2 linked regions of the Arabidopsis thaliana genome follow. The protein of the gene in region 2 interacts with the protein of the main gene of each other region in a pairwise test. Each region holds a gene or a part of one and is shown on either strand. Other genes may lie near its edges.

Evidence for each region. The genes of interacting proteins can lie anywhere in the genome.
Region 1: the proteins of RK2 (region 2) and PUB38 interact in a two-hybrid assay, tested with the Arabidopsis thaliana proteins (one study listed by BioGRID).

What each region holds. Positions count from the first base shown.
Region 1 is NC_003076.8:26,047,039-26,052,691, reverse strand, and holds PUB38 (plant U-box 38), read left to right. Parts: upstream 1-2,645; 5' UTR 2,646-2,848; coding exon 2,849-4,519; 3' UTR 4,520-4,627; downstream 4,628-5,653. Other genes in the region: AT5G65207 (uncharacterized protein), read left to right, coding at 107-328; AT5G65205 (NAD(P)-binding Rossmann-fold superfamily protein), read left to right, coding at 675-1,017, 1,167-1,326, 1,412-1,766; AT5G65180 (ENTH/VHS family protein), read right to left, coding at 4,886-5,389, 5,515-5,550, 5,626-5,653. UniProt on the Arabidopsis thaliana protein: Functions as an E3 ubiquitin ligase.
Region 2 is NC_003070.9:24,470,620-24,478,322, forward strand, and holds RK2 (receptor kinase 2), read left to right. Parts: upstream 1-2,253; 5' UTR 2,254-2,546; coding exon 2,547-3,837; intron 3,838-4,206; coding exon 4,207-4,341; intron 4,342-4,434; coding exon 4,435-4,625; intron 4,626-4,701; coding exon 4,702-4,912; coding exon of another isoform or gene 4,913-4,917; exon of another isoform or gene 4,918-4,997; coding exon 4,998-5,235; intron 5,236-5,338; coding exon 5,339-5,489; intron 5,490-5,577; coding exon 5,578-5,904; 3' UTR 5,905-6,268; downstream 6,269-7,703. Other genes in the region: RK1 (receptor kinase 1), read left to right, coding at 3-137, 241-431, 508-718, 804-1,041, 1,145-1,295, 1,384-1,710; AT1G65810 (P-loop containing nucleoside triphosphate hydrolases superfamily protein), read right to left, coding at 6,424-6,505, 6,579-6,713, 6,795-7,358, 7,431-7,686.

The sequences.
Region 1 (5,653 bases), on a different chromosome or scaffold from region 2:
ACACGTCAAAGCCACACTATATATACCAGTTGCGTTGAATAACATCTAACATAGAACCAAAGATAACCGAACATCAGAGGTAGATAAACCGGAGATAACCGATTAAATGGCGGACATAGCGATTTTGGTGGCGGAGGAGTACGAGAGGAGGATGAAGCATACGACGGTGGGTTCGAGATCATCGCCGGTGGAATTTGATTGGTGGAAGATAATTCCGGCGAAGATGACTATAGCTTTTGACAAGATGAAGATTGAGAGTTTGAAGAAGAATTTTGAAGCTAAATCTGAGTTTGCTTTAGCCATCTCTCATGGCTTCTTCTCTGCTTGATTCCATTTTGTTCATAGCTAATTTCGTTTCTTAATTTCTGTTTTTTTTTTTTGCTTTTTGGGAAGTTTTATGTAAATATATGTAAATTAATCTGTTTATTTTATCAACCGTTGAATCAATGACTTGGTCTTCTCCGGCGAATCACTGTTGAGTAAAAAAAGATAAAAAAAAAAAACAAATCTCAGGGACTTTGTTGCATACGTGGACAAACTTCTGGGGAAGAATTCTAAAATTTTAAAACTTCATCATCTTAATACTGTGTTGAGAAACTTCGGCGTAATTTTTGCAATTCGACCCTTATATTCTGGATTTCTCTTTTAAATCTTTTCATTCAAAATTATATAAAATGGGAAGCAGCAGCGACGAGACGCCAGTGGTTCTCATCACAGGATGTTCTCAGGGAGGAATCGGTCACGCGTTGGCGCGTGAGTTCTCGGCTAATGGTTGTCGTGTGGTGGCGACGAGTCGATCGCAGAAGACGATGACTGAATTGGAGAAAGATTCCAAGTTCTTTGTGCAAGAGCTCGATGTTCAGTCTGAGCAGAGCGTGAGTAAAGTTGTGTCGAAAGTTATCGACAAATTTGGTCAGATTGATGTTTTGGTTAATAACGCCGGAGTTCAGTGTATCGGACCTTTGGCGGAGATTCCAATTTCAGCCATGGATTACACCTTCAACACCAATGTGCTCGGTGAATGAAAATTTTCGAGTTACTTCTTATATGCACACCATGTGTTTGTTAAAATTCTTGACTCAACTCTTTCATGTTTTATTTTGCTCTGTTGATTTGGGTTGTGAGAAGTCTCTTCAAGAACTGAACTTTGTAAAGAAACTTTGCAGGTTCCATGAGGATGACTCAAGCTGTTGTACCTCACATGGCGTCTAAGAAAAAGGGAAAGATTGTGAACATAGGAAGTATTAGCATAATGGCACCAGGACCATGGGCTGGGGTTTATACTGCATCAAAAGCTGCTCTTCATGCTCTTACCGACACTTTAAGGTTTTTCGATTTCAGCAGTCTCTTTTCATCAGCTTGATTAATATCATCTAAACAGTAAACACTATCTTGTTTTGTGTTTGTCTAGGTTGGAGCTTAAGCCATTTGGGATTGATGTAATCAACATTGTACCAGGAGGTATTCAATCAAACATAGCTAACTCAGGGATATCGAGTTTCAACAATTTACCTGAATTGAAACTATACAAACCGTTCGAGGACGCTATCCGTGAGAGAGCGTTTCTGTCGCAAAACATAAAGCCGATACCCACAGAGACTTTTGCGAAAGAGACTGTTTCCGTGGTGCTGAAGAAAAACCCACCGGCTTGGTACTCTACAGGTAGGTTATCTACAGTCATGGCGATCATGCACCATATACCGATTTTCATGAAAGATTTTCTGTTGACTAAGAGTTTTATGAAAAAGGGAGTAAAACCTGAATAGTTGTGTTCTTGGTTAGAAACTGTTTTAAATGTATCCAACAAAGTAAATGTGTTGCCTAACCATGTTACATCTTTAGTAAAAGGATTAATCAAGGTACTACTTTGGTAGGGTGTGCAAAAACAAAAACAAAACAGTGGCTAAGCAGAAACTTGGTTATAAACAAAAAAAACAGTGCCTAACCATGTTACATTTATAGTAAAAGATCCAAAAGGCCGAACCAAAACCAAATCGAACTAAAAATGAGTTTTTATTCGATTTTGGTTTGTATAAAACAGGTAAAACTTAATTCGAAACAAGATAAAACCGTAAAGCCAGATTGTCTACTAGACTACCCTTATACTTTGGTTTTTGGTACAAAGATTTGTAGGGGAAATGTCATATCATCTGTGATGCAACTTGCAACCCAACAATGCATCATCAGAGGACAAGATAAAAAGTGGTCAGAGGTTCAATGTAAAGCTTACAGCTAAAACTGAGAAAAGTTTTTTTCCCCTAAAGCTAAGAATGGCATGGATGTCCATCATGTTTAGTGAAAAATCTAATCATTTTATTATTCAGCAAAAATTAAACTTATTGATGCCACATATTTCAGTGTATCACTGTATTGTCATCCTTTTAAAACAAATTAGATTACATTCCAAAATGATAAATTACATTCCAAGTTTATAAGTACGTAAGTTAAAAGATATGTTTTTAAGAAAAGTATATGAACAAAATTGACCTGAAAAAGAAAGCAATAAAACTTTTCAGAATGCATGAACTATGAAAGCCAATTCACATCTGGGTCCACCTATATTAATTTCACAGTCAACATTTTCGATTACTACTAATATGTTCAAGTTTTTAAAAAAAAAATTAATAGTCACTTCGAAAATAAACAAAAGCCAAAAAAAAAAAGTCAGTAGGCCACAAAGTCCTTCAGTTCAGGAGGAAGAAGACGACTCTCCTCTCTTCTCATCTTTCTTCTTCTTCTCAGAAAATCACGAAAGATGAATTCAAATCCCTAATTCCTCTCCATAAAACCCAAAACCCTTTTCAGAAATCAAACTCACCACCAATTCCTGACCGTTGATTTGTCGCAGATGGGTAAAAACGGACGGCTCAGATGGAATCCTTTCAGCCACAGATCGTCTTCTTCAACCTCTTCATCTTCACGACAACAGCAACAAGAACAACAACCTCCGGTCGAATTTCTCTGTCCGATTTCAAAATCAGTAATGTCTGACCCTGTTGTTGTCTCTTCCGGTCAAACCTTCGAACGTGTCTGTGTTCAAGTCTGTCGCGACCTCAACTTTATCCCCAAACTCAACGACGACGAAGAATCTCTACCCGATTTCTCCAACATCATCCCTAACCTAAACATGAAATCAACAATCGATACTTGGTGCGACACCGTCGGCGTCTCACGTCCTCAGCCACCTGATTACTCCACCGTCGAGAGAATTTTACGGCAACAGATGCCTCCACCGGACGTCGAGATTCGTGTCTCCGAGCAAGAGCTTCTCAGAGCTGTAGCTCACCGAGCTCCGATGATAATTCACCACGCTGATTCTGAACTCATGGGAAGGAGAGATTTCAACAACTCCACGACCTCTTCTGATGAATCTGTAATCGTTGCTCACAGTCCATTCACTCCTCTTCCTTTAACAACTAGACCCGCTTGCTTCTCTCCATCTCCATCATCTTCTTCCTCCGAAATCGAAACCCTAACGCACCACACTTTCTTCTCTAATTCTACTTCCACCGCCACAGAAGAGGACGAAGTGATTTACAACAAGCTTAAGAGCAGTGAGATTTTTGATCAAGAGCAAGGTTTGATTATGATGAGGAAGATGACTCGTACTAATGATGAAGCTAGGGTTTCGCTTTGTTCTCCTCGGATTCTTTCTTTGTTGAAGAATATGATTGTTTCGAGATACAGTTTAGTGCAGACGAACGCGTTAGCGTCGCTTGTGAATCTGTCTTTGGATAAGAAGAACAAATTGACGATTGTTCGGTTAGGATTTGTTCCGATTTTGATCGATGTTCTGAAGTCGGGGTCTAGAGAAGCTCAAGAACACGCAGCTGGAACAATCTTTAGTCTTTCTCTTGAAGATGATAATAAAATGCCTATTGGAGTTTTAGGAGCGCTTCAGCCATTGCTTCACGCGTTACGTGCAGCTGAGAGTGATCGGACGCGGCATGATTCGGCTCTCGCGCTTTACCATTTGACGTTGAATCAGACGAATCGATCAAAGCTCGTTAGGCTTGGAGCGGTACCAGCGCTTTTCTCGATGGTTAGGTCCGGTGAATCGGCGAGCAGGGCATTGTTGGTGATCTGTAATTTAGCGTGTTGTAGTGAAGGAAGATCGGCGATGCTTGATGCGAATGCGGTTGCGATTCTTGTAGGGAAGTTAAGGGAGGAGTGGACGGAGGAGCCGACAGAGGCCCGGTCATCGTCATCGGCTCGTGAGAATTGCGTAGCGGCGTTGTTCGCATTGAGCCACGAGAGTCTTCGATTCAAAGGACTAGCGAAGGAGGCGAGAGCAGTGGAAGTGTTGAAGGAAGTGGAAGAGAGAGGAACAGAGAGAGCTAGAGAGAAAGCAAAGAAGATTCTTCAGCTGATGAGAGAAAGAGTGCCGGAGGATGATGAAGAAGATGGCGAAGGATCAATTGATTGGGACCGAGTTATCGACTCCAACGGCTCAATTAGGTCTAGATTCCGAGTTGGTGGTAGAAACAGAGTGGTCACTCAAAACTCCTCTGGCTTCTAAAGTTCCATTCCATTTGTTGTTGTATAGTAGACATTCAAAATGTTTTGTGATTGAAATTTTTTGTAAACTTGACTTGAAATATGTGAGAAAAAAAGCATGACTGATGTATATATATTTTGTACAATATATAAAAGATCCATTTGAAACAAACGCATACTAGATATAAATGTAACGCAGATACACAATAGAAGTCTAACTATGTTACAAAGAAGAAAAATTGACTAAACAGCTCAAGGTACAAGATTTGTAAGACAAAAGATCTCGTTTCTACTTTCTACAATATGCGTTACATGAAATAAAATAAAGTGGGTCAGAAACTATCTAATACTAGAACTAATTGGATTTTTTGGTTTGTTTTTACTAACCTTAAGAATGGTGTGGAGGTCCAAAATACATCATACCCGGTGGATGAAAACTCTGACCTTGTTGCGCTTGTTGCTGAGCTGCATTTGGTTGGTTGTTATTATTCATCATATGCGGCGGCAACGTTCCAGGCGGCGGTGGCGGCAGTGCTCCAGGTGGCATTAATGGAATGTTACCAAATCCATAAGGAAACTGTTGTGATGCGGCTGGATTTGGTATTATGTGATACTGCTGAGGATTTGGAGGAACAACAAATGCATTTGTGTCTGAGGTGTTTGATTTGGTTAGACCAGAAGTTTGTGTAGCTTCGGCTGCAAATGAAGAGAGGACAGAATGCATAATCATTGATGAGTTTGTTGATGAGGTTAGCATTTCCGCCATTGCAGCGATTGAGGCAGGAGTGATTTTCGCTGATTGACCAGATGTTCCGTTGTTATTGTTAACCGGTGTTTCGTTATTGAGCCGTTTCTGCATGTTTTGGGCTTCTTCGGTTTGTTCTTGTGCTACCTGATGAATAAGAACAAAGACAGACACACAATCAATTTTGATGCAGAAATACAGTTTTCTTGTACTCAAGATTGCAAAATAGTTCCCAGGCGTAAAGGGATTATTAAACCAATTCAGATTTTTACCTGTATCTGAGATTGAAGATTCTCCAATTCAGATTCCTGATACACAAAACTCAGTAAGTAATTGAAATGTCTGAGCAAATTATTGAACTTGCAAGATTGCAAGACCTTTACCTGTTCCCGTAGCGCTTCCCTAAGATGA
Region 2 (7,703 bases):
AGAGGACAAGAGAATCAAAAATGAAAAAATTATAGGTTCGAGTATTGGAGTGAGCATTTTGCTTCTTTTAAGTTTTGTCATCTTCCATTTTTGGAAAAGGAAGCAGAAGCGATCAATAACAATTCAAACACCTAATGGTAAAATAAATCATTAGCTTTCATTTCCTTTATTTTTGTCAATAAATTTTGATAATCAAATGTCTTGATTGTTTTTTTTTTTTTTAACGCCTGAATGAAACAGTTGATCAAGTGAGAAGCCAAGACTCGCTAATCAACGATGTGGTAGTATCTAGGAGGGGTTACACATCCAAAGAAAAAAAAAGTGAGTACCTAGAGCTTCCATTGTTGGAGTTGGAAGCTCTTGCCACGGCAACAAACAATTTTTCTAACGACAACAAGCTTGGACAAGGTGGATTCGGAATTGTTTACAAGGTAAAAGTGATTCAAAACATATTGAAAATCTACCACAGCACATGGTTTCATTGTATAATCACATGTGTGGTAATAGGGAAGATTACTTGACGGAAAAGAAATTGCGGTAAAGAGACTATCGAAAATGTCCTCACAAGGGACCGATGAGTTCATGAACGAGGTTAGATTAATTGCAAAGCTTCAGCACATAAACCTTGTCCGGCTTCTAGGTTGTTGCGTCGATAAGGGTGAGAAGATGTTGATCTATGAGTACTTGGAGAATTTAAGCCTTGACTCGCATCTCTTTGGTTAGTGACTCAAACAGCTTCTGTTCTAATAATTGAACATTTTTGTGAAAACGTTAACTTGTTGTTGGTTGTGTTGGATGTGTAGACCAAACACGAAGCTCTAACTTAAATTGGCAAAAGAGATTTGATATTATCAATGGTATTGCTAGAGGACTTCTATATCTTCACCAAGATTCACGGTGTAGGATTATCCATAGAGACTTGAAAGCAAGTAACGTATTGCTTGATAAAAATATGACTCCAAAGATCTCGGATTTCGGTATGGCGAGGATCTTTGGACGGGAGGAGACAGAGGCTAATACAAGGAGGGTGGTCGGAACTTAGTAAGCAATCATTCTTCAACAAAACAAAAAAAGAGCTTTTATCTCAAGTCCAAATATTTTCTTAAAAACCTCATAACATATGAGTTTATATTTTGTTATGCAGCGGCTACATGTCTCCAGAATATGCAATGGACGGGATATTCTCGATGAAGTCGGATGTTTTCAGCTTTGGGGTCTTGCTTCTAGAGATTATAAGTGGAAAAAGAAACAAAGGATTCTACAACTCAAACCGTGATCTTAATCTCCTCGGTTTTGTAAGCTAAAAACCTCTTCAATTCGATATTGTTTTGCATTCATAATCTGATTATAACACTAAAGAAATATTACATCCTTTATGCACAGGTGTGGAGGCATTGGAAGGAAGGAAACGAGCTAGAGATTGTAGATCCGATCAACATCGATTCTTTGTCATCAAAGTTCCCGACACATGAAATCTTAAGATGTATACAAATTGGTCTCTTGTGTGTTCAAGAACGAGCCGAAGACAGACCAGTGATGTCCTCGGTAATGGTGATGCTTGGAAGCGAAACTACCGCTATTCCTCAGCCTAAACGTCCTGGATTTTGCATTGGTAGAAGTCCTCTTGAGGCTGATTCTTCTTCAAGTACACAGCGCGACGATGAATGTACAGTGAACCAAATCACTCTCTCGGTCATTGACGCTCGGTAATTTGTAACTTACGGCCCAATCTGTTTACATGCATATCATTTTATAGGTAAGTCTAAATAGATTTTATTACTACATATATGATTCGATATCTTGCTCTATCTAATTTAATTTAGACAAAAGATTCACCACATGTTTCACATGATTTTGATTTAGAGCGAGAATTATAAAAAAAAAACATTTAGACAAAGACAAAAAAATGCAAGATTTGGAGTTGTCACTCCAAGATTTGAAGTTTGAGACCGAAACTCAATTAAGTGGGAATTCAGTAATGATTAATATTCACTTTTTGTACATACTACTGATAATAGACCAATACTGGAAGCGAACATAGGACTTTATGGCTATTACAACAGAGGACTTTATGAAACAAATCGAATATATACCTTAAACTTTTATGAATTCATCGGTGAAGCATTCTCTTGCATATAACATTTAGTATGTCGCCAGCAACATTGAAATTTTGTCTATTCTCGTACACACACACACAAATGGTTGAGGATATTATTTTTTTGGAGTAAACGAAGAAAAGTCAGTTACTAGGAAATTACAAAACCATAATTATCAATTTAACGACTTTTAAGGTCATTGACTCAATTCTATAGTGACATAGTCTATAGATATTTCAAAAGCGAACAAGAAGACCAAGAAAATGTAGCTGAAAATGAAATATTATCAACAATAGAGAGAAATCGTGTAAATGACGTTCACACATTTCAACACCAAACATGTCGTAATCTCCGAAGATAAAAATTCTCAATTATATGTACATAAAATTTTCATAAGAAGAAAATAAAACAGAACACAAGAAAGTGTCCTAGCTAGAGAGAGAGAGAGAGATGAGAAATGTACCAAACTATCATCATTCTTACTTCATATTATTCATCATAATTCTGTTTCTTGCTTTCTCTGTTTATGCAAGCAACTTTTCAGCCACAGAATCTCTCACTATCTCAAGCAACAAAACCATTATATCTCCTAGTCAAATCTTCGAGCTCGGTTTCTTCAATCCCGACTCAAGTTCACGTTGGTATCTCGGCATATGGTACAAGATAATCCCTATAAGAACCTACGTATGGGTTGCAAACAGAGACAATCCTCTCTCTAGTTCCAACGGAACTCTCAAAATATCCGACAATAACCTCGTCATTTTCGATCAGTCCGATAGGCCTGTTTGGTCGACGAATATAACCGGAGGAGATGTGAGATCACCAGTGGCTGCAGAGCTTCTTGATTACGGTAATTTTGTTCTTAGAGACTCCAAAAATAATAAACCAAGTGGATTTTTGTGGCAGAGTTTCGATTTCCCGACAGATACTTTACTATCGGATATGAAAATGGGATGGGATAACAAAAGCGGAGGATTCAACAGAATCTTGAGATCTTGGAAAACCACAGATGATCCGTCAAGCGGAGATTTCTCGACTAAACTCCGAACCAGCGGGTTCCCGGAGTTTTACATATACAACAAAGAGTCCATAACGTACAGGAGCGGTCCATGGCTCGGAAATCGGTTTAGCAGCGTACCGGGGATGAAACCAGTTGATTACATAGACAACAGTTTCACAGAGAATAATCAACAAGTTGTTTACTCATACCGAGTCAACAAAACCAACATTTACTCGATATTAAGCCTAAGCTCCACGGGACTATTACAACGATTAACTTGGATGGAGGCAGCACAGAGTTGGAAACAGTTATGGTACTCACCAAAGGACCTATGTGATAACTACAAAGAGTGTGGGAATTACGGTTATTGCGATGCGAACACTTCACCTATTTGTAATTGTATCAAAGGGTTTGAGCCAATGAATGAGCAAGCGGCTTTGAGAGATGATTCTGTTGGTTGCGTGAGGAAGACGAAGCTAAGCTGTGACGGTAGAGATGGGTTTGTGCGGTTGAAGAAGATGAGACTGCCAGATACTACAGAGACAAGTGTGGACAAAGGAATTGGGTTGAAAGAATGTGAAGAGAGGTGCCTAAAGGGTTGTAATTGTACGGCGTTTGCTAATACGGATATTCGTAATGGCGGTTCAGGTTGTGTGATTTGGTCCGGAGGGCTGTTCGATATCCGAAATTATGCTAAGGGAGGTCAGGATCTTTACGTTAGAGTAGCTGCTGGTGATCTAGGTTAGTTTTTCTTTGCTCTTTTGGTTTTTATTTTATTGTTTAGTTGACTAATAGGTTCTAAGCCAAGGTCCGTAACATAACGGCTTGATCCACTAGGTCCGACCATATAAAGAGTATATGGTCCACAAAGTATCTTGTTGATGTTTGGTCAATTTTTTTAGTTTATTACTTGAAGATATACAAAATACTAGAATAACTTATATATCAAAAGATTAATATGGCTTAAGCTAGTTCCAATACCAAAAAATATATTAATTATTTTGTTTATGTTATTGAATAATATTTTATCAAAAATACGTAAGTACAACAAAGTATACTTTGGAGTTATTATTATGATTGAAGAAAATATATGCCTCGTCTTTATTGCAGAGGACAAGAGAATCAAAAGTAAAAAAATCATAGGTTCGAGTATTGGAGTGAGCATTTTGCTTCTTTTAAGTTTCATCATCTTCCATTTTTGGAAAAGGAAGCAGAAGCGATCAATAACAATTCAAACACCTATTGGTAAATCAACAGCTTTCATTTCCTTTATTTTTACTTCAATTTTTGATAATTAAATGTCTTAATTGTTTTTTTCTGTGTGTCTAAATGAAACAGTTGATCTTGTGAGAAGCCAAGATTCTCTAATGAACGAATTGGTAAAAGCAAGCAGGAGTTACACATCCAAAGAAAACAAAACCGATTATCTAGAGCTCCCATTGATGGAGTGGAAAGCTTTAGCCATGGCAACAAACAATTTTTCGACGGACAATAAGCTTGGACAAGGTGGTTTTGGTATTGTTTACAAGGTAAACATGACTCATAACTTGTTGAAAATCTATCACTGGCAATGGTTTCATTGAATAATCAAATGTGTGGTAATAGGGAATGTTACTTGATGGAAAAGAAATCGCGGTAAAGAGACTATCGAAAATGTCTTCACAAGGGACCGATGAGTTCATGAACGAGGTTAGATTAATTGCAAAGCTTCAGCACATAAACCTTGTCCGGCTTCTAGGTTGTTGCGTCGATAAGGGTGAGAAGATGTTGATCTATGAGTACTTGGAGAATCTAAGCCTTGACTCGCATCTCTTTGGTTAGTGACTCAAACAGCTTCTGTTCTAATAATTGAACATCTTTGTGAAAACGTTAACTTGTTGTTGGTTGTGTTGGATGTGTAGACCAAACACGAAGCTCTAACTTAAATTGGCAAAAGAGATTTGATATTATCAATGGTATTGCTAGAGGACTTCTATATCTTCACCAAGATTCACGGTGTAGGATTATCCATAGAGACTTGAAAGCAAGTAACGTATTGCTTGATAAAAATATGACTCCAAAGATCTCCGATTTTGGGATGGCGAGGATCTTTGGACGGGAGGAGACAGAGGCTAATACAAGGAGGGTGGTCGGAACTTAGTAAGCAATCATTCTTCAACAAAACAAAAAAAGAGCTTTTATCTCAAGTCCAAATATTTTCTTAAAAACCTCATAACATATGAGTTTATATTTTGTTATGCAGCGGCTACATGTCTCCAGAATATGCAATGGACGGGATATTCTCGATGAAGTCGGATGTTTTCAGCTTTGGGGTCTTGCTTCTAGAGATTATAAGTGGAAAAAGAAACAAAGGATTCTACAACTCAAACCGTGATCTTAATCTCCTTGGTTTTGTAAGCTAAATACCTCTTCAATTCGATATTGTTTTGCATTCATAATCTGATTATAACGCTAAAGAAATATTACATCCTTTATGCACAGGTGTGGAGGCATTGGAAGGAAGGAAAAGAGCTAGAGATTGTAGATCCGATCAACATCGATGCTTTGTCATCAGAATTCCCGACACATGAAATCTTAAGATGTATACAAATTGGTCTCTTGTGTGTTCAAGAACGAGCCGAAGACAGACCAGTGATGTCCTCGGTAATGGTGATGCTTGGAAGCGAAACTACGGCTATTCCTCAGCCTAAACGTCCTGGTTTTTGCGTGGGGAGAAGTTCTCTTGAGGTTGATTCTTCGTCAAGTACACAGCGAGACGATGAATGTACAGTGAACCAAGTCACTCTCTCGGTCATTGACGCTCGGTAATATGTAAGATTGTAAGTTATCGACCCACTCTTTTTATATAAAAATATAGACACAGGGCAGTAAGGTCTCCACACTAGGGGCTGATACTTTGCATCAGTCAGTGATACCTTGTGTAACAAGTTTCCTTTGCCTCCATGGAACGTATACAAAAGTTGTATTCAACTTCGTTGTAAATATAATTAAGATAAAAAGAAAAAACCAAAGAGGGTATAAACCCACAAGGATAGCTACAATTTCCGGAGATCCGGATGAGGAGGAAGCATGATACCAAGCTTGAGAATCCTTACAAAATCCCACTACTGCGATAGCATTATATTTATAGTGAAGAAAAATTGTGATCTAAGATGATACACATGTTCAGTGATCACTGATCAATGACCAATTTAAGTATGTCTGACAAATAGCAAAAGATAATAAGAGAAAAGTCACAAAAGGACGCAAAAGAAGCAGACACACAATGTTTTAAAAGACCAAAAGGAATACCAAATTGTCTGCTTTTGACAAAGAAACAGTCAAATTTCACTTAGGATCTTTGGGGTTAGATGTTGAAAGTTGAACCTTTCTTCTAATCTTCCACAGTTTCTTTAGCTTCACTTGTTTCCTGCAAAACAAATAAACAGAGAATATTACTGAAACTGCTTTGAAATCTCAAAGACTCATCAAATAAGCCTTACTTGATAGGTTTAGGACTCACAGTTTCCTCTTCCACAACACTGAGCAACGCAAATGATCTCGAAACATCGCTTACAATATCTTTCTTTGAACAAGAATTGGAATCAACCGGCCATTGCATTGGTACAACTAAATCACTGCATCATTGTGAAAACATAAAAACATAAATTTCTCATGTTTCAGATTAAATTAACACCACAAAAATTTAACTAACTCACCCTTGAGAGCATATGTATCGACACCGACTTATCTTGCCTTTCGTGTATCGCCTGTAATGTTTCTCTAGATGTTCTGTAACACGAGAAACATCAGTAGATGGCAAAACCTGCCAGATCTTCAAAACTTGTACATGTTGATTATTATTCTTGAAAATATCTATCGCCCAAATAAGACTTAAGCCATCATCAAACTCATGTTGTCTCAACAAATTCTCACTTTCAAACTCAACCTCTTGATGAAGCTCTTTCCCATTAGATAACTTCTCCAAAAAGCTCATAACTCTTTTATTAATTTCCGAGTCTACGATCGTTTCCAGAGATTTCAAGAACTCGTAGCTGAGCCAAACCTTCCATATCGAATTCTCAAAAGAAATAAGCTTCTTGTTTTGAAGCTTATTAAGATCATCAAGTGCTGTTGTTGATCTTTCAATACACTGAGCTAATGATTCATCTTCTTCTGCATTATGGAAACAGTTTCGTGCTTTCGCATCATCTACCAACTGTCTCCACACTGATCTATTGTTCGTTAAAGTCGCTTCGTTTCCAAGAATCCATAAGCAATACCTACAAACAAAAAGAGCTAAATCAAGAAACTGAGCATAGCTAAATCAAGAAACAGAGAAAATGTTTACATACCTCGCACGAGTGAGTGCTACATTAGTTCTTTGTTGGTTAGATAAAAAACCAATAGCTCCATTACCGTTAGACCTGACTGTTGAGATTATAATGATATCTTCTTCACCACCTTGAAACCCATCTACAGACCTAACACTCACTGTAAATGTCCCTTCGGTATTATACTTTTCGCCTATCCTTTCTTGGATCGCAAACACTTGAGCTTTGTAAGGTGAAATCACCCCTACGCTTATCGTTCTCCCGGTCTTTCTTGATACTAAAGATTACATAACA